Linked DNA regions of Coturnix japonica. The protein of the gene in region 2 purifies or fractionates together with the protein of the main gene of each other region. This does not show direct contact. Links are inferred from orthologs where the notes say so. Each region holds a gene or a part of one and is shown on either strand. Other genes may lie near its edges. The genes, in order: RPP30, NEPRO and RPP25L.

Evidence for each region.
Region 1: the proteins of NEPRO (region 2) and RPP30 purify together in Homo sapiens (affinity purification with mass spectrometry; 3 studies listed by BioGRID and IntAct, counting the BioPlex papers as one, with this or other methods). This does not show direct contact. The link is inferred for Coturnix japonica from reciprocal best matches to the Homo sapiens genes RMP64 and RPP30.
Region 3: the proteins of NEPRO (region 2) and RPP25L purify together in Homo sapiens (affinity purification with mass spectrometry; 3 studies listed by BioGRID and IntAct, with this or other methods). This does not show direct contact. The link is inferred for Coturnix japonica from reciprocal best matches to the Homo sapiens genes RMP64 and RPP25L.

The regions. Positions count from the first base shown.
Region 1 is NC_029521.1:17,046,129-17,052,553, forward strand, and holds the start of RPP30 (ribonuclease P protein subunit p30), read left to right. Parts: upstream 1-2,782; 5' UTR 2,783-3,068; coding exon 3,069-3,150; intron 3,151-3,921; coding exon 3,922-3,977; intron 3,978-4,284; coding exon 4,285-4,341; intron 4,342-4,616; coding exon 4,617-4,691; intron 4,692-5,231; coding exon 5,232-5,303; intron 5,304-6,425. UniProt on the Homo sapiens protein: Component of ribonuclease P, a ribonucleoprotein complex that generates mature tRNA molecules by cleaving their 5'-ends. Also a component of the MRP ribonuclease complex, which cleaves pre-rRNA sequences.
Region 2 is NC_029516.1:74,702,302-74,708,702, reverse strand, and holds the start of NEPRO (nucleolus and neural progenitor protein), read right to left. Parts: upstream 4,381-6,401; 5' UTR 4,318-4,380; coding exon 4,227-4,317; intron 4,079-4,226; coding exon 3,924-4,078; intron 3,128-3,923; coding exon 3,051-3,127; intron 2,946-3,050; coding exon 2,795-2,945; intron 2,481-2,794; coding exon 2,416-2,480; intron 2,105-2,415; coding exon 1,746-2,104; intron 1,485-1,745; coding exon 1,423-1,484; intron 1,092-1,422; coding exon 841-1,091; intron 442-840; coding exon 63-441; 3' UTR 1-62. Other genes in the region: protein spire homolog 1-like, read left to right, coding at 5,052-5,298, 5,964-5,995. UniProt on the Homo sapiens protein: May play a role in cortex development as part of the Notch signaling pathway. Downstream of Notch may repress the expression of proneural genes and inhibit neuronal differentiation thereby maintaining neural progenitors.
Region 3 is NC_029547.1:7,293,488-7,299,773, forward strand, and holds RPP25L (ribonuclease P protein subunit p25-like protein), read right to left. Parts: upstream 3,755-6,286; 5' UTR 3,320-3,754; intron 3,061-3,319; exon of another isoform or gene 2,802-3,060; intron 2,599-2,801; 5' UTR 2,590-2,598; coding exon 2,044-2,589; 3' UTR 1,295-2,043; downstream 1-1,294. Other genes in the region: DCTN3 (dynactin subunit 3), read right to left, coding at 4,214-4,303, 4,928-4,987, 5,648-5,706. UniProt on the Homo sapiens protein: May be a component of ribonuclease P or MRP.

The DNA.
Region 1 (6,425 bases), on a different chromosome or scaffold from region 2:
GAAGCACTGACAGCACTGCTCGGTAACTCCCCACACAGATGTATCTGAAAAACAAGGTCTGTGCTCATCTTAACATAAAATCTTAGAGGTGCTGCTACATTTTCCTTCTTAAACAATTTAATTCTGGATGCATTTCATACCCATGTGAAATGTAATAAAGGGTGGTTTTTTTCTTGCAATTTTCCCTCCTTTTTTATCATCTCCCTTGTTGTCCTTCCTCTCCTGAGCCGTCTGTCTTGATAAACTGTCATTTTCATTTGCCTGTTGTGTATTTTTTTTCTTTCCTTTTCATCTTCTTTTCCTGGAAACCAATATAAGTCTGGTGAAGACCTGCTGTTGGGAATAATAAATAAAGTATAGGTACACATTTCTTCTACCTTGGGGAAATACGTTGTCAAGATATTTAGAATATTTTATCAGAGGCTGGGTAAAATTCCATGGACAAATATTATTGCAACCTTGATTTTTATTCCCAGCATGTAGTTTAGCAAATAACACTCTTGTCCAACTTCTAGCAAAGATGTTGCAGCTGCAGTTTCTTTTCTGTCTTTTCTTGCCTTTGTGAAAATAAATCATCCCCACTCTGTGGCAGTGAAATAGAGAGGTTACCATTCACATCTTTGGCGTTTCTTATCATCATCAAAATAAATAGTCGCACCTGTGCAAGCTAAATAAATGGGAAGTGATGTCTTCCCTTTTTTTGAACCAGCAAATATGAGCAGCAAGCTGTCAGCTGAAAAGAGAAAAAAACAATTACAATGAAATTTATTCTAGAAATTCTTGATCACTCTGAAAAACAGTTCTCAGCCTGTTTCAGCCTACAGCTTTATGAAGGAAACTGTGAAGGTTATGATTAAAGTGACCATTGAGATTCAAGCTACTGAGTTGCTGAGATAGGTGGTGCCAAATATCTTTAGCTCCCTAAAATGCTAAAGGCAGAACTGAAGCCAAAGAGACATATACACATATATATCTGACAGCTGCTACCCTGAGTTGCCCACTGGAGGTACATTAGAGGAATATCACTTCATAAGACCTGAAAAGGTCTTCCCTAAAATTTAAATGTGGCATGAAAAATGTTCCTCGAGGGTAGAAAAATTGGCCGCACTAGGAGGACTTCAGGACACGGGAGAAACAAAGCACACTCAAAGTCTGTGACTGACAGTGAGAACCACAGCTATGTTTTAAGTAGATCACTGGGTCTGGCCTAAACAAAAATGTCAACATCCAAGTGGTTGATGGGGGAAATAAGGTTGCACACTGGTCTGCGTAAGTAATTGATGATATGTGATGCTGGGAGGGCCATCACAGAAATAGGGTTCTGAAGGATGATCTGTTTAAGTACTCTCCATTTTAAGTGCCTCGAGAAAAGGTTTGTTTTGCTTGTCTGTTGCCTAAAAAAAAAAAAAAGCTGCTTAATCTTGTTTAATGTCTCTGAACATTAGTCCAAAAGAGATGTTCAGAAATAATTGATACATATTTATGGATTTCTTCTCACATTTATTCAGACAAATTAAATCAAGTTCCATCATACACTGTCAAAAAAACCAAACAAACAAAGAAAACAAAAAAAACACTTGAAATAATGCTTTGAGTTCTCCCATGTCCACACACTTCACAGAAAAGCCTTAAGAAGACCATTTGATTTGGGCTGTGTGTTCAGATATTTGGCAGAGAAGCAGCACTGGCTATTCCAATAGGAAACATGTTAAGGGCACAGATAGGCCAAAGCAGAATTTGCTGAAACATAGGAAACGTAGGAGGAAGGAACATCTTCCAGGGAGACCTGGATAGGCTTGAAAAATGGACCCACAAAAACCTAGTGAGGTTCAGCACAGCCAAATTCAAGGTGTTGTATTTGAGCTGGGGCAACCCCAGACATTCAGACTGGGAGAAAAACTCACTGAGAGCAGCCCTGCTGAGGAAGACTTGGAGACTTGATGGACAAAAAGTTGGATATGAGCCAGCAGTGTGCACTTGCAGCCCATAGAGCAACTGTATTCTGGGCTGCATCAACAGAGGGGTGGCAGCATGAAGAGGGAGGTGACTGTTTCACTCTGTACTGTCCTTGTGAGCCCCCACCTGGAGCACAGTGTCCAAGCCTGGGGCTCCCAGCACAGGAGTGATATGGAGCTGTTGTGATGGGTCACAAGGATGGCCACGAAGGTGCTCAGAGAGCTGGAGTACTTCCCTGGAGATAGGTTTGTTCAATCTGGGGAAGGCACCAGGGAGATCTCGTTGCAGCCTTTCTGTGTTTAAAGGGAGCTTATAAACTCTTCGGCCTCAGTGTGCCAAGGAGCAGTGCTGTGGGCAGGGACGTGCCTGGGAGCTGTGGGCATTGCTGGAGCAATTCTGCCTGGTTAAGGGTTTAGCATTCCAAATAACCCACTGAACCTCCAGGCTCAAGGAAGTGGAAGCAGAGGGCTTGTGAGGCCTCCCAATACCACCTTGATGATGTGAAGAAATCACAGCCTTGCTTGTTTTAGCAGCTGCTGTAACTGTCCCAAACAGCAACAAAAGTGGTCATTACCACCTGTATTTCACATATGTGCTGATTAGCAGCAATAAAATGGGTGGGTTTTTCAACAGTGCTACAGAGTCAAAGCATGTTTGATTTGTGGTCTCCTGGAATTGTTCATCTCTTTTGCATTTTAGGGAATATCTCTAGAGAAGCTGGGACTAATCAACCTAGGATTTTATTTCACATTTTTTAGTTAACGCAGGAAAACGATGGCCTTAACTAGGAACGGTTCCACCCCCCCTCGGGCCATACAGTAGCTGCGCTCGGTGGGAGGCGATCCGGCCGCTAAGAGGAGCAGAAGCGCATCTCCCCCTGCTGGGCAGCGCACACACCCCGAGCTCCCGACTGCTCCGCTCGCAGCACAGCCCCCCACGGACACGTTCAGGAGCGCATAAAAGCTCGCACGCTCCATCACCCAGAGCTCCGCCTGCTGGTCCAGAGCCCATCCCGCTCCTCGTAGCAGGACTACCAGCCCCAGGTTGCTCCGGGCCGCCGGGGGCGGTGCCGGCTGCGCTCACAGCCTTCGTTCCGCCCCGTGCTGCGCAGCATGGCCGGCTTCGCCGATCTGAACGTCCCGCAGGGCGCGGATAGGAAGGCCGTGCAGAGCGTGCTGGAGGCTGCGGCGAACCGTGAGTCGGGGCTGGGAGCGGGTGGATGTGTTGTTGAGGATGGGGTGGCTGTGCTGGAAGGCGGCGCTGGCTGAGGGCTGCAGCAGCGGCGTGAAGGATGGAGAAGCGGGGCTGGACGGGGCGGAAGCTCCATGCGCCGGTCCTGCCCTGCCCAGCGAGGGCACGGGGTCTGTGCTGTGCCTGAACAGCGCTGTTATTATCTCCGGTTACTCTCCAACCTCTGCAGAGAACTTGTTCCAGGGTTACTGATCTTCAGCACAGGCTTTATGGCTTTCTCTAGTCCTGTCCACCACGGCAGTCTTTCTGTTTGTATCACCCTTCAATCGTGGTCACATCTCCCCTCATAATGCATCTTCCAGTCCGCTGCTGCAAGGCGCAGCCTTCGTGTCGATGCAGAGCCGGGACCTGGCAGCCTGTGGCTTACCCCACTACCCCAGGCTCACAGCCACACCTCAGCCTGCCCTGCTGTACCCATTAGGTAACCGTGCATCTCTGTGCGTACCCCAGCACTGGCCGTGCACAGTCCCTTGTCCTTGTTACTGTCAGTCAGTGAGGATGTGTTGTAAAGGCTGGCTTGTGCTAAAAGAAAAAATTGTACTCTTAAGACACATCTTTGAGTTAACATTGAGCAAAATTCACTGTGAAAGGTAAATGTGCACATCGTTATTGATTTTGAGATATTTAAATAATGAGCATGTGACAGTTTTCTCCTTGTGTCTGTTTCCATTACTTGCTGATCAAAGCAGGCTCACAATGTGTTTTCTTTTTTAGTGGGATATTCTGCAGTTGCTCTTAATCACGTCATCGATTTTAAAGAAAAGAAACAGGTAATTTCAGTTCAGCTTCTTTGTTGGTGATGTGTTTGCTCTCGTAAATCTCTGTGCCACTCCTCTATCCTTTGTTTTTACGCACTCACCTAAATGAAGGCATTTGTATTTATATTTATAACAGAACTCTGATTTTATAAGCCTGTATTACTGCCCTGGAGTTAATTTTTACTATGGTCTGTGAATTGTCCTTAGGAAATATTTTGTTAGTATGTTAAGCTTATTTTTGGAGTTGGAACACAACTTCTGTGTACATTCTAAACATCCCTGTTGTATTTTGGATAACTTTGTTTTGTTTTCTTTTAAGGAAATAGCCAAGCCGGTGTCTCCATCAGAGCTGTTTCCATCTTTGCCTATTGTGCAGGTGTGTTTATTACGTTCCATCTATGTGTTGTTACACTGAGCTGCAATTTTTCCTTTCAGTTTATCCACTCCTCAGAGAAACACAGTGAGCCCTTCTTTCTGAAGGGCAGTTACAATATATATGTTTTATATTAGGGAAGCATAACTACAGACTTCCAGAAAATTATTATAGGCAAGAATTGGTGCAAGGCACAACTTTCTTTTTATAGTAGGCAGGGTGAAGGTTGCCACAAAGTTTGTCAGCTTTTAAAATCTTATATTATTTTTCCATCATAGGGGACATCTAAAAGACTTAAAGTCTTAACCCGGCTGACACTTGTTGTTTCTGATCCTTCCCACTGTAATCTCTTGGTAAGTACATTCAGTGTATCTGCTTGTTTGTTTGTTTGTTTTAATTTAATTTTCTCAACGAAAGAATGACACTTTGGGAGTTGTGTATTGGATTTAATGGATTTCATAGGATACTCAGTACTGATTTCTCAGACCAGATCTTTAGAATCTGAAGCATCATGACCCCTCACGCAAGTGTCTGTGAAACAGAACGTGATTGTGCTGATCGCTTATTAGTATGGGGTAGCAGTTCTGTTCCTTTATTCTTTTATTTGAATTCTGGACTTCCATGTGTACACTAGAATACCAGGAGGGAGACCAGTGTGTGTTTGTGGAGCTGTGTGCTTGAGACAAAAGGTATGTGAGTGGATGGGACAAGCCTCAAAATGACCTCAGAGAATTGCTCACAGTAGAGACCTACTATTTAATTAGATTATCGTCTTTGTTTTGGTGCTTGAAAATGGTGAGGAAATTTTCTCATTATTATTTTGGTTATAATCATTGTGTGTATGCTTGTCACCTGCCAGAAGTCAAGGTAGTAATTATTTCCTCCTTTTGTAGAGATCTACATCTGCAAATATAAGATTGTATGACATCATAGCTGTATTTCCAAAGACGGAGAAATTGTTCCATGTAAGTACTATCTGTGAGTTGTCATAGAGCTGGCACTAACCATCAGTGTCTTGGAGTGCTTTGAGTGCATGCTTTGTTTTGTTTTCCATTCTATATAGCCATGTCATGGGGCTAATTAAACAATGTAGGTTCTCTGGTCAGCAGCAGGCAGACTAAAAGATTGGGAGAAATCCTAGAAGGGTAAAGGGCCTTGATGTGATCAGTTGGTCCTAAACGTCTGCAAGTGGTCTGACTGACTTGCTTTCAAATGCTCAGCTCAACTTCTTGTCAAAATGCTTTCATTGCAAAATGGGGGGAGAAAAAGTGGCACATCTGACCATCTCAGGAAGCTCCTGAGTCGTATCATTAAGAGTGAATTGGAAGAGTTGGTAGAGGTGATCTGTCTGTATTGCCCTTGGCAGACAGCAAGCTGATGTGCAATTTGAAGAATGCACTGTGTCACGGAGTTATCTAGATCAATCTATGTCTGTGATGGGGGGCAGTAGGCCTGTGGGCTCTCCCTCCAGCCCCAAGAATGGAAAGAAAAAAGGGAAAGGGGTAGGGAGATGGGAGTTGGGCTCAAGGAGATAAACAGAGCAGCAGCAACAATCTAAGGAGGAGAACTTATTTTACTAATTATGATATCGGAATGCAACATAACACAATATAGTATGATCTAATTGAAATTGGGGCTAATAAATCAAGTGAAATAAGAGAGAGAGGTTTCTGAAGACCAAGAAGCCTACTTTAAAATTGAAGGTGCCACAACTTGGAAGCACACCCACACTTACTGCCAGGCAGTGTGAGAGAGAGCCAGTGTCACTTCTGTGATGTGTTTTCCTCTCTGACCGTGAGGTACTCTGGGACATGTAATTCTTCTCTGTGTTCCACATGATGTTATGATGTGGAATACCGATAGCAAAAATTACAAAACCATGACACACTGGGACACCAACTGCAAATGTGAGTCTCTTTGGAGGAATGCCGGAATTTACTTTCAAAGAGAGGTTGTCGAGAAGCTGACATTGTTTTTCAGTTAGGTTAAAGCTACTTTCTGGTGCTGCTCAATACCTATCTTTGGAACATTAAAACTATATTTTTCTGATTTATTTTTTTTTTAAATTATTTCCTGTCCTTTTTGAA
Region 2 (6,401 bases):
CTTAGAGGCATTCCAAGTTCTAGTTAGAAAAACAAGACACGTTTCTTCTTCCTAGTCCAGAATCAGACACCCATTGCTGCAAAAATAGAGTCAATATCCACGTTGTCAGAATCTTCGTGCACAGACCTGGGGCTTTCTTTTAACAGCAGCTGCTTAGGAGTCCCTGCTGTACTTTGTTTGACAGCGGCCGTGTGAATGATGGGACATCCTTTCTGACTCGAAGGCCTCACAGTGGGTGAAATGCAGCTCACATGGTCCCCAGAAAGCTCCGAATGTTTTTGCTGAACAGTCCTCAGAGTTCTCTTTGAGCACTTGGAGAATTCTGCCCTCCTTCCAAAGATCCATGCCCTACGGTACTGCCTTGGCCAGCGCGTGTTCTGGGAGCCATACAGGAGGTATTTACAGAGCGTCATTTTGACACAGCGCAGTTTCTTCTGCAAGCTTAAGGGAAGGAAGATGAACAAGAGAGAACTTTACAGCTGTTACTATTACCTATGGTGTTTTCAGAGCTCTAGATATGGGCATTCTCTGCCATTCTGTCACACTCGGGAAATGCTACAGCATCTTTACATCATCTAACACCATTATGCAGGCACACAATCTAAGCTGCATTTTCATTCCCCCCTTTTATTACATATTCATGCATTTATTAACCCTTTAAATCCTCTCACAAGCAAAGCTATACAGATACTTGTATCAGCAATTCCAATGACCTGAAGATGTGATTGTGCTCAAGCTCAAAAATAAATATATAGGTCAGACCACAGCATTTCTCTACATTGTAGCAAAACATGTGAAGTTAAACTATCAGATCCAGAGCCCCTGTGCTCAGCAGAATACCTGCATCCTTGTGCCTCCACATGGTGCAGCCGATTGCTCTTCAACAACTTGCTGCGCAGAAAGTAAGCTTCTGATTTGAGTTTGTTGCCTTTGCACCACAGAATGGCTTTTCTGAGCGCCTCCGACAGCTCACCAAATGATGCAGCTGTTTGAAACATCTGTACGAGAGGCCCAGTGCGCTGCAGTTTTGCCACAGAAGAGGAAAGTGACACTGATGTTTCATTAAAAGGTTTTGATGTCAGGCATCTACCCTGAAACAAAGAAGCAGAAAAACAGTTGGCTTTCTAAAAAGGTGAGGTGCCTGCTGCTCTGCCAGGGAGGAGCAAAGCACTGTGTTTTGCATTTCTTAAGGAGAGACACACAGTGAGCATTTATATTCCTGTCTACTGACTTCTTCTGACTTCCTCTCTGGTCACTTCGCTTGACATACCAACAAATGCTTGCATAACAGAATGACCTGTTAGACAGGTAACATAAGGCAAGGAAAGAGGACATTTTCCATCATATAGGTAACACATTTCAAGTGTTAGGCTCTTCACAGCAACATAAAAGCAATCTTGTGTAAAACTGTGGTATACAAACCCCTTGTATTGGAGGTCTGGATGGTCTAAGCAAACTCTTCACATCAAACCATAGGTGGTTCTCTACAGAAAGAGAAGAGTTCCCATTAAGTAAAGAGTTTTAAGTCCTCACACAAACACACTAATGCTTTGCCCTGCTGAGCTCTCAGCTCTCCCGGTGTCTCAGCAGGCTTATGCCTGTACTCAGCATTTCAGGAGGGGAGTTTGTACCAGAACCACACTCTGTGGGAAGCAGAAGCATTTGCTCTGTTGGACAAAGTTGGACAAAGCGGTAGCCAGTCTCTGGTCTCAGATACCAGTATTGCTGTGGCAAAAAGGCTTTACCTCTGCTGCCTATGGTCCCCAGAACGGGTTCTCCAATGTCATCCGCAGGAATGCTGTGGTTCTTCACAGCTCTCGCATAGGTCACAAAACCTCTCTTTTTCCCAGCCTTTGATACGGCTTCTGATGTGGTTGGGAAGAGCTTCTTCAGCCAGCCGGTAGGTCTTCTTGCTGTAAGCATTTTAGCTTTTTGTTTCTTCACCTCAGCAGAAAGGTTAACTCCAAGAAAGCTACCGATATCAGCAGGGAAGGTAAATCCCTTGATGTAGGGCATCTGCTGGGTCTCAGACACCAGATGAAGCGATGTTGACAGTACGCCATACAGGGAGATGAGGTTCTGCAGTAAACACCTGTACTGAATCCTGAAGGGAGAAGACAAAGGTGTAGATTCTCTCCTAGCAAGAACTTGTGCTTATACTCACTGAACAACTGCCTTGAACTCAAAGGGAAGAGCTTTGTTCTCCCCCCAGTAGAGGCCCCTCTCTTTACATTCTCCACTCACACAACTCTTCAGGTGCTAGAACAGAGTCCAAAAGGATGGAGGGATCTGTATGATCTTTTTCCCCTCTCCTCCTAGCTGAATAAAGCTCACTCAACAAGAACGCTCTAATCACAAGCTTTCTCCCTGACAGGCATGTCAAACAGACAGCAAACAATTGTCAAATATACAAACCATAGCCGGCTCAACATGCCCAAAGCCACGGTGTTCATAAGTATGAATTCTTCTGAACAGACAAGCTGCAGATTACACCAGTTAAGGTTAAAGAATAAACAGTATGTAATGAAACTTGCTGAGCCCATCAACTACGGGCAATTCACAAGGCGATATCCTGAACAATTCGGGAGGTGCGTATCCAAACTTTGGGTTGCTCAAGGCTGGAACAGCAGCCAGCCAGCAGCCTGAGGTTCCTACGTAATAACTTGAAAATAAAATGTCTGACTAGCAAAGAATCTTCAAGGTGCACAAATGAATTGCAATGTGGACTCCACCAGCAGCACAGACATTCCTTTGGCCTCGTGAAGTGCTGCCGGTGAACAGTAAGAATATTTACATAGCAAAAAAAAGGATACAGAAATGCTTTACAGCAACAGTCTAGCAGACGCAGTATGAGCTTACAGCCTCCCAGCACCTTCACGGCCACTGTTTCCAGCATAGGCTGGCTGGGAACTAAGCACTCTGCTTGGTCCTGGGCTTTAGTTTTCCTGTGGCAAGACAAGGGCAAGGAGATGTCTGTGGTCTAGCATCTCCTCCTTCGGTTCCGTAGGCTGACCAATGGGTAGTAGTGCATACAGGGTCATGGCACTGACCTGGGAATCAGTTCTGCCAGGGTTTCAATGCAGCCCACCAAGTTCATTTTCCACAGGCGCTTCAAGCACTGTTCCACCTAGGGGAAAAAAGAAGGGAAAAGAAAAGGAAGAAAAAAAAAAAGGGAAGTCCTTCAGCTGAGAGACACCAATGCCCTTGTCTAAGAGCAGTCACTACTTTAAATGACACCTTCCCCTTATCAGTTTAATAGCAGACTTCAGGTTTGTGTGATACAGTGCTCTGGTCTTGTTGCCATATCTGCACTGTGACAGAGACCCCTTTATCACCTTACTGTGAATAGGAAATTAAGAGCAGGAGCAGATCACTTTTCATTGGCACTGTATGGTTTCTCCTGCAGCATATAAATGGATTTCAAGAAGCATTTAGACAATGCTCTGAGGTATGAGGTCTGATTTTTGGGTGGTCCTGTATAGAGCCAGGAGTTGGACTCAATGATCCTTACGGGTCCCTTCCAACTCATGATATTCTATGACTGTGGTAATGCAACATGATGGGGATAAAGTACAGAAGTCTCTGAAATCTAAACAGTGGATGTATGGAATGTGTTTGGGATTTAACCAGTCCTTCACCAACGATAACGAACAAATGAATGGAGAAGGTAAGAAGGACTGCTGTTTTATTTCAGCACAGTTGTTTGAAGACTATGACAACCCCTTTACTACAGAGCTGCTCAAGAGTTCAGCTTCTGCCTCAGGAGAGGCAACATCCGACAGAGCAGCCTGCAGTTCTTCCACACCCAAACCTCCCCTCTCCCAACTGAATCAAACAGCGACGAGGCACCAAAAGCTGAAATCAAGCTGCACTTCTCACGCTGTCCCAAGGCCTTCAAACCACCCCAGCTGCCCGCCGCTCACCTGCTGCATGGCCAGGTACGGCCGGTGCCGCAGCAGCCTGCTGTGGAACACGTAGAGCAGGGCCCGCAGGACGCGTCCCTCGGCGGTCAGGCTCGGCCAGCACAGCCGCTTCATGGTGCCGACACAACAGCGCCGCAGGGCCGGCAGGCAGCGCACTGCGAACGGATGGCACTCAGCGACCCACGCGAGCCCATCGCCCCCGACTCCGCTTCCCCATCCCTGCGGACCCCATGGCTCCGGTGCCCCCTCCCGGTTCCTCCCCGCCCCATCCCGGCCGTGGGGCCCGGCAGCCCAGCCGGGGACCTGCGGGGTGCTGCGCGTCCACTGCCACCGCGCTGCTGCTGGAGGGCCACGGCACGTCCACACGGTTCCACGCAGCTTCGGGCGCCGCCATCTTGTGCTGTGCGGGGCGGGACGTGCAGGCGGGGGTGCGGCCTGCACTCAGTCACACACGGCGTTCACAGAGCGCATCGAGCAGTGCTGTTCTGGATGCTGGGATCCGCGGATGAGGGAGGCGATGCACCAAGCTAAGGGCTTGCGGCAAAGTTCCAACCCCCTGCACTGTGCAGGGTCACCAACCAGCAGACCAGGCTGCCCAGAGCCACATCCAGCCTGGCCTTGAATGCCTCCAGGGATGAGGCATCCACAGCCTCCTTGGGCAACCTGTTCCAGTGCGTCACCACCCTCTGTGTGAAAAACTTCCTCCTAATATCTAACCTAAAACTCCCCTGTCTCAGTTTAAAACCCCCTTGTCCTATCTCTGTTTCCTCATACTTTAGCCAAAGATGAATGTTCTCTCACCTGCACCTACTAGTATTGCCATTAGTGTATTTGCTAGAGACAACCACATTAAGCTGAGAAGAACTTTTGCCCCACCTCGTTATTTTAGAATCCAGTGTGTTACATGCTTCCTGTTTTTCCCTCAAAGAGGTTTGTGCCAATGCAAATTAAAGTGGTGTCCCTTTAAAAAGCTAGAGCATAATTGGCATTAGCATTCACACCTGTGTGGAGCAGCGTGAGGGTTTGTTCCCTCCTTGGGTCATAACTGATAAAAGGCTGCCACCTGAGCATTCTCTTGTTCTGGGAACGAGGCTGTTAAGCTTCCTAGTGTAGCAGAGAGTTGTGAAAATGAACACGGAGTCTCCATGCTGTGAGCAGAATGCTGCAAAGATTTCTCTAGCTGAGATTCTGAGGTGCTTTGAGCACCCTATAAGCGAAGAACAAGCCTGGGCTATTTGCTTTTGGTGTTGCTTCAGGATGAAGGAATTAGCCCAAGGGCGGTACCCATCACTCCATTCTGTATTCATAAAAGGTCCGGGGAGCATCTTTATTCATGCTGATGGCACTGTTTCCTTCCGGGTGTATCATAAGTCTGGTAAGAGTGAAAGTAGCTGTGGGTGCCACGGGTTGCTTCTGTGATTGGTTGAAATTTAGGGACAAAGTGGAGAAAAGCTTTTAATTTTCCCCTTCTTCTCTGTACTTTCAGGTTGTTCTCACTGTATAAGCTGTTCTTCTGTCTGTGCTTTATTCTAAAGGTCTTTATATAAGAGGTAATGCAGATATGCCTGCCAATCTTTCTGTTGATGCTTTAGTGTGTCATTTACTTCTAGGGAATAGCTGGGATTCATTTACTGCAGCTTCTGTTATTTGAAACAAATAATTTGAGGTTTCATTTTGTGTCCTGCTCTGTTCATCTTCTAATCTGTTATTCCACCATTGTATTAACTCTCAAGCCAAATCTGTGACTGTTAGTTCTCCATTATTATTATTTATTGTTCTGTGTAGCTAGCAAACAGCAACAAGCTTTGTCTTATGCACTTGCACTGCTGTGGAGTTCATTGCTAGGCTGAGTGCAGGGACAAGAGTGGGTAGTAAAGAATGAAGACAAAGATCCATTGCCTTCCTTGTAGTTACATATGTACTAACAAAGAAAAGGAACTAACCAGTAGTACTTAAATTGGGGCTAATGGTCACAGTAAACAAAGGGTATCTTGCAGTGCAGTTATCATCCTGCCCTACCTCTTCTTGTTTCCCTTTCAGATGCTGGCAGTATTCAGCAGTCAGAGGAGAAGGTAAGCCTGTATCTTTGCTTTTGTATATGCACAGATATAATCCTGCTGTGTAGAAATCTGGTGTGGGAGGTGTAGGCGTCTAGCTGCCTTAAACTGACAAGGCATTTGTATTTACTGGGTACTGTGGGTGTGACTGTCCCCTGCAATCTGAAAAATGAAATAAAATGTTAGGAGTGAGCTCCAGTAAGACTATGGGACTGGTAAGCAAGCAGGGTGCACCAGTGCTGCTACTGTGGAATAATGTGTAGGCTTTTTGTCCTGATTACATCATTTAGAGGTGCTAGATAAGGTAGTTTAAAAGCTTAACATAGCTCACTGGGGAGTGTCCTAGGATACTTGAAGAGCAGTCATTTACTTTTTGAGCCCTTCTCATCCTGAGAGATGTGCTCAGCCCTGTGGGGCAGCA
Region 3 (6,286 bases), on a different chromosome or scaffold from region 2:
GACGGCACGGCACGGCGCGGCACGGCGCGGCACGGCACGGCGCGGCACGGCACGGCACGGCGCGGCACGGCACGGCACGGCACGGCGCGGCACGGCACGGCGCGGCACGGCACGGCACGGCACGGCACGGCACGGCACGGCACGGCACGGCACGGCACGGCACGGCACAGCACAGCACGGCACAGCACAGCACAGCACGGCGCAGCACGGCACAGCACGGCGCGGCGCGGCACGGCACGGCACAGCACGGCACAGCACGCGGCGGGCAGCGCCGGCTCCTTCGCACATCGCAGCCCCGACGGACCCGCGGGAAGGAGACGCCGACCTCCCTCCCCATCCCGCAACCGCAACAAGTCCCGTCCCGGCCCCGCACTGACCCGCTGCCGCCGCGCCCCGGGATCCGCCGCTCGGAGCCGCGTCCGCTGCTCGCTGTCCCGGCGCGGAGCGGCGCCGTGTCCCGCAGCCCGGCTCGCTCCTCCCCCCGCTCCGAGGGGCGGCCCGGGCCCCGCACACACCCCGCCCACAACCGCCGGCTGCGGCCCCGCCCCGCCGCGCCGCGCACAGGCCGCGTGGTGCGTGCGCTGCACCGGGCGGGGATGGAGCAGCGGCTGCGATGTCTGAGCGACACGGCACAAAACACAACAACCGTCCCGGCACCTACACGTGCTTCCAAGGCACCTCTGCGCCACCGGCCGCAGACGTGGGGCTGCGCTGTCCGCCCACGAGTGACCAGCGCGGCCCCGTGCAGTGCAAAGCGTCAGGGACGGTCCGAGCGGCTGCACCGAGGAACGAGCCCGGCACAGCTCCGTCCTGCACCGGGCAGCTCGGCACGGCAGCGGGTACGATGCAAATCCGCCGGGCAGCTGGGGACCCCTCGTGGCTGCCAGCAGCACACACAGCTGCGGGCTCTGCTGGCTGCTCCTGGTGGGCTTCGCTTGGGGAGATGCTCCATAGCCCATAGAGTCCACGCTGGCACAGCAGCGCTGTGTATGGCCATGGCCCTGCGGCTCCTTCCTGCCCAGCATCACCTCCCACAGCTGATCCAGGAGCAGAGCTGTGGCACACGACGTGATGCTCCATCCCCTGCTCCATCCAGTGGCATTCACACCAAGTATTCTCAAATCTGCTCTTCCAGACAGAAAAAATAAACCCTTGGCTTTCCCATTGCTAGAAGAGGTGAATGGCAAAGGAAAACCTTCATCAGGGCCCACCTACAGGAGAAAAACGCCTGCAGCTGCAGCCCGTCAGTAATGCTGAGGGTGACCCCAGTGCAACGTGGAACACATCACACATCTTTTGTCACTTACAAACTTTATTTTAAACCCATTCCTATGCATTACAAAGGAGTAGAAAGGGGAAACAAGCATCCTTTGGAGCTCACCATTACCACCCCTGTGCATTTGCCCCTGCCTACGTGGTTTCAGGATGGTGATGACGTTAGTTGACTCCTGCCAGAGGTGTAACCATCAGCACCAGAGGGGAAGTGAGAGGACAGAAAGGGATGATTGGCACACAGTGAGCTGCACCCCTGCAGTCCCACATCTAAACCATCAGAACACTGGAAGGCTTGAGCAGAAAATGGCTTCTCAGGCACAGGTAAAGTGTCCAACCCAGCCCTGAGCTGTGCCATCCACACAGAGGAGCTGCAATGATGGGCTGGCAGCCCAACCTGGGACACATCTCCCCTCTAGGAGCTGCCTCATCTCCTGCCCATGCAAAGCACTGCCATACCTGGAATGCCTCTTTGGGCTCACTAACTGGATGCCAGCAATCCTTGCCCAAAAAGGTAAATCCCATATTTCCATCTCATCCCTGAGCCACAGGCTATGGAGTGAAGCCTGGCACCATCTGACAAGGAAACTTGCCAAAACACAATTTAGACAGCTACAATTTTGTCAATTTTGGAACAGTGAGTTCTCCTGTCTACCCCCCTAACAGATCTGGAAGCCTGTGTTCAGCAGCAGCTTTCCAGCCAGAGCAGCTGGCTGGTTTTTGTAACATCCCCAAGCTACACCCACAAGTGTCTCTGTCTCAGGACTTCACTCAGGACTCCCCGAGCCCTCCACTGGCACGAGGGTGCTTTCCCATGCTGCCAGTTCCCCTTCCTCCACCCTGCTTCCTCTTCATTTGGGCCTGGGACTCTGCTTTAAGTGTCTCAATCCAGAAGGCGTCAAAAGAGCCCGGAGCCTGATATCCAGGCTCCTGGGGATCAAGGGCGTCTTTGCTCAGCAGGACACATATGGCAGGAATGTTTCTCTTCACTGTCAAGGAATCCAGACCTGCCTCAGGCACGATGGGTTCCCAGATCTCCTCGATCTGTTTGAAAAGCACTTTGGTGATCTGGTGGAGTTCTTTGAGCCTTCTTTTCATGATCTCCACACACGTGATGGTTTTGCTGACAGCCTTGCCTGAGCCAGTGAAAAGGATCTGCCTCACTGAGTCCAGTTCCATCTTGCCAATGGCGTAGCCCATCAGATTTCTTATTTTACTTCCATCTTTCACTTTCATTTCAATGATATCAGGAGGCAGGTCAGTGAAAGGAAGAGGACAAGGCTTCTCCACGATTTTGGTCTTCTTATAGTTTTCCATTCTGCTGCACTGAAAAGGAAAAGCAACCCATGAATACCTGCAATTAGTGATAATACAAACCAGCCACTGTGGGCTTTCCCACTCAGCGAGAAGCGCAGCTGCAACTGTGGCTTCCAGCAACCTGTGCCAGCACAGCAGGGCTCAAAACTGAGGCTGCCATTGGCATCATTTCAGCCTCTGGCCACCAGAAAAGTCTCAGCAGCTCCACACACCTGTACCTGAGAAACTTCTAAAGGCTGCACAAAGGGCTTCTCGCTCCAATTACGTGCAGTCTTTGCTCCAAAGGGCACTGTCTGATTCTGTCAGCCGGACAGGGCAGATACAAACTATCCACCAGAACACCCCGATGTGCAGCAGTGCAAAGCACAGCAGTCATTTCCAGCAGCGGCAGCTCAGACACCGGCGGGCAACATGAATGCTGCCACAGGGGTCGAAACTGGAAGGAGCAGCGCTGGTTCAGCTGGCGGAATCCTTAGAAAAAGCAAAGAATAAATGAAAGAACTCAGGTAAACGGGCTCACGCTCAACCCCCACCCCCAGGCCCACAGAGTCACACGGCTCCCCCCACAGGCACGGTGAAGGCCTCGGGCGGAGAGCTCCGCCAAGGGGAGGCGGCCCAGCCCCACCATCCGGGTCCGGGGTGACGGGAACCGCTGTCCGGGCGGCTCTGCGGGTGCGGGAGGCGGACGGGCTGCGGGGCGGGATGGGGGACACACGGAAAGCACGCTCACCTGCCGGCACGGCGACACTCGACGCAAAATGGCGGCCGACGCCAGGCGTGCGCATGCGCGGGGAGGGAGGCGGAGTGGCGGAGTGATGGCGCCGGGCCTGGGCGGGCTGTGAGGGCGGGGTGGGCCCGCATCTCCCAGCGCACAGCTGGGCTCTGGGCTTCACTAAAGACATGTTCACAACTCAGTAATTCTGTTCTGTACCTGGATAAATTGCACAGCCCAGGCACTACAGGCAGGGGGCAGCAAATAACTCTTTCTGAATAAGAAAGGACCGGCTGCGGCTCTGACTCGCTGCTGCCATTCTGATCAGCAAAGGCACGACGTAGGGCAGGGTCACTTGCTTCCCCCAGTCTCCAAGTTCCCATTCCCACAGGGCACCAGGAACCGCCCCAAGAAGGGACACACAGATCACTGCTTCTACTTCATGCCAGGAGTAACGTTTCCTTATGACACATCAGCCATGGGCTGTTGGCAGCACGCGGATCTGCCCTCCTGAGCTTAACCAGGCATTCTGTGCCACTGATGCATTCACGGGAGGAAAAGACAAGCCAGACCAGTGCATTAGGGCTTTACTGTGATCCACGATAAGAGCAACAAGGGACTTTAAAAGTACGTTACTAGCTTGAAAACATTAAAATAAAAGATAACATATTAATAACAGTGGCATATTAAGAGAAAACTATATGCAAACAGTGGCATATTGATGGTGCTGCTTTGATTAAGGGCCACAAAGCCAGGGTGCCCCCAGGAGTCTGTGACACCATTTGCAGCATACTCACACTAAGTATAAAGATACTGAGGCAAGAGGATGCAAGCAGCTGCTGTGGTCTCTTCTGAATAATGCAAGGCCAACAGGATCCTAGGACTTTGGTCTTCGCCCTCCCTGCTCTGCCATCACTCTGCTGCAGGTTTCACTTCCCTGGCTGCTTCCAGCTGTGTTAGTATTTCATTCCACTGGACAAACTGCTTGGAGAGAAGCAGAGTCTGGTTGTTCCTCTTAAGGAAAGAGAAGCAAAAACTTCTAGGAGGAAATAAAGGTTAGAGAATAGCTGGAGCACCCATCAGCCTGACAGTGCTGATCCAAAACCAATTCCTTGGAGGAGAAAAGGGTGAATAAAACTGTGTCTACACAGCCTACACAGACTTATACCAACTACACACCACTTCTAAGCACTGCATAGTGCTGCAAATTAAAGGTCTTGCTTCAGAAAAGAACATAACTCCCCCACCCACTATAGTTCAGGATGTGTTTCAGCACTGGTATGAGATGAACTGCAAGGCTCTGGCAGGTCACAGGCACATTCAACTGACATGCCAGCTCCTTTGTGCTAAGCCACACTGTAAGCAGATCCATCACAAAAGCTCTGACTCACAGACGACACCCTGCCCTTCCTGTCTCGGATGGATAGTTCTGTCCCTCGGCACTGTAACAGGACTTCACTCCTGAGGTAAGTATAATAACAGGAACACAAACATCACTACACCAGAAAAGGTACCGGCCATTAAACCTAAGGCTGGGGATTGCCTGCTTCCAGCTACCTCTGACAGGGTGAGGTGGCCCAAGAGACAGGTGGGCAGTTCAATCCAAGGCACCAGCTAAAAGGATACTGTCTTGTTGTAGTTTTCCAAGAGCATCTTGACTTCATCAGTAAACTGCTCACACTGCTCCTGCAAAAAACAGTGCCTTGGTGAATAAGCAATAAATAACTTAAAGGACATCTGTAATTCCAGGCAAGTCAGGAATTGTCCAAGGCCAGTACCAAGATTAAAACTCAGGCCCTGGCCATGACCACTCACTGTGCCTGAACGAGTTTCAATAGTTGAAGGAAAGGTTATGAAGAAACACTCATGCTCATACGGTGCAAGAGCATCCATGCTAGACCGATGTGTGGTTTTTCTCAGCATCCATGCTTTGCTTGACTCAGAATGAAAACTCACAGCAAAACACAAAAAGGGGGCATGAAGTGCAACCCAGGCTACACACCCCATTCCCTCAGATGGGGAAGGAAAGAGACAAGGTGGCAGCACTGATAGCCATATAGATAGACGTGCAACATTTCAGTGACCTGGTGAAAAGCAGAACAGCAGCTGGTTAAACACACTTCTGCTTATTGAGACCTCTGTTTTAAGCAGGCTTATGGTAGGTAAAAAGCTTTTCCAACTCATAATCAATTGTTAGTAACCCTTCTTAAACTTTTTCCTTTTTTTTCCTTTTTTTTTTTTCTTGCTGCAGTTTTAAAGATGTGGTATAAATATGTCATCAGTACATCCACTATCAAATGGTTCCTTTTTCTGGCTAGTCAAGACTGTCACAAACATTCACATTACCTGTTGTTGTATCTGGATTTGAGAGAGTCGCTGTATTTTGGCTGCATGTTCAGGAGCCGCTGAAAGCACAGAAACCCATTTTTTTTGTTTTACATCACATAGGTTTAATTATAACAAAAAACAAACAAACAAACAAAAACCCAACAAAATAGAACATTACTTTTCAAGGGCAAGTCACAGCAAAGTTCTGCTCAGTGAATTGCTGATTGTGCTCCACACCACAAACGTGTTTTTAACACAACTGGAAAAAAAAAAACCTACTAGCAGATAAAGCCACATAGCTACACTGCACATCAAATAACAAGTTTACTTGCTAACTACTCAAATTAGGGCGAGTTAACAGATGTTAACAATTAGATGAACACTGCAGTTAACATTAAGAGAAGCATCTCTGCCTACACAAGGAACACTGATGTTCTGGATATAAGACAGCTCATAAGCAGAACCCTGAGAGTTACCATGGCCTGGGCATTGTACACAGTGCTTAGTCACAGTTTCACACCTTTTGCCAAGCCACTGCCTCTAACTTCTTTATTAAACTATACAGTCACCTCCCTGACCCGTTGGTGCAGGGGCCACATTCCCACCCCAGGTGTGTTTGGTAATAGCTAAGATGTTCAGCAGTGTTCTATTAGACAG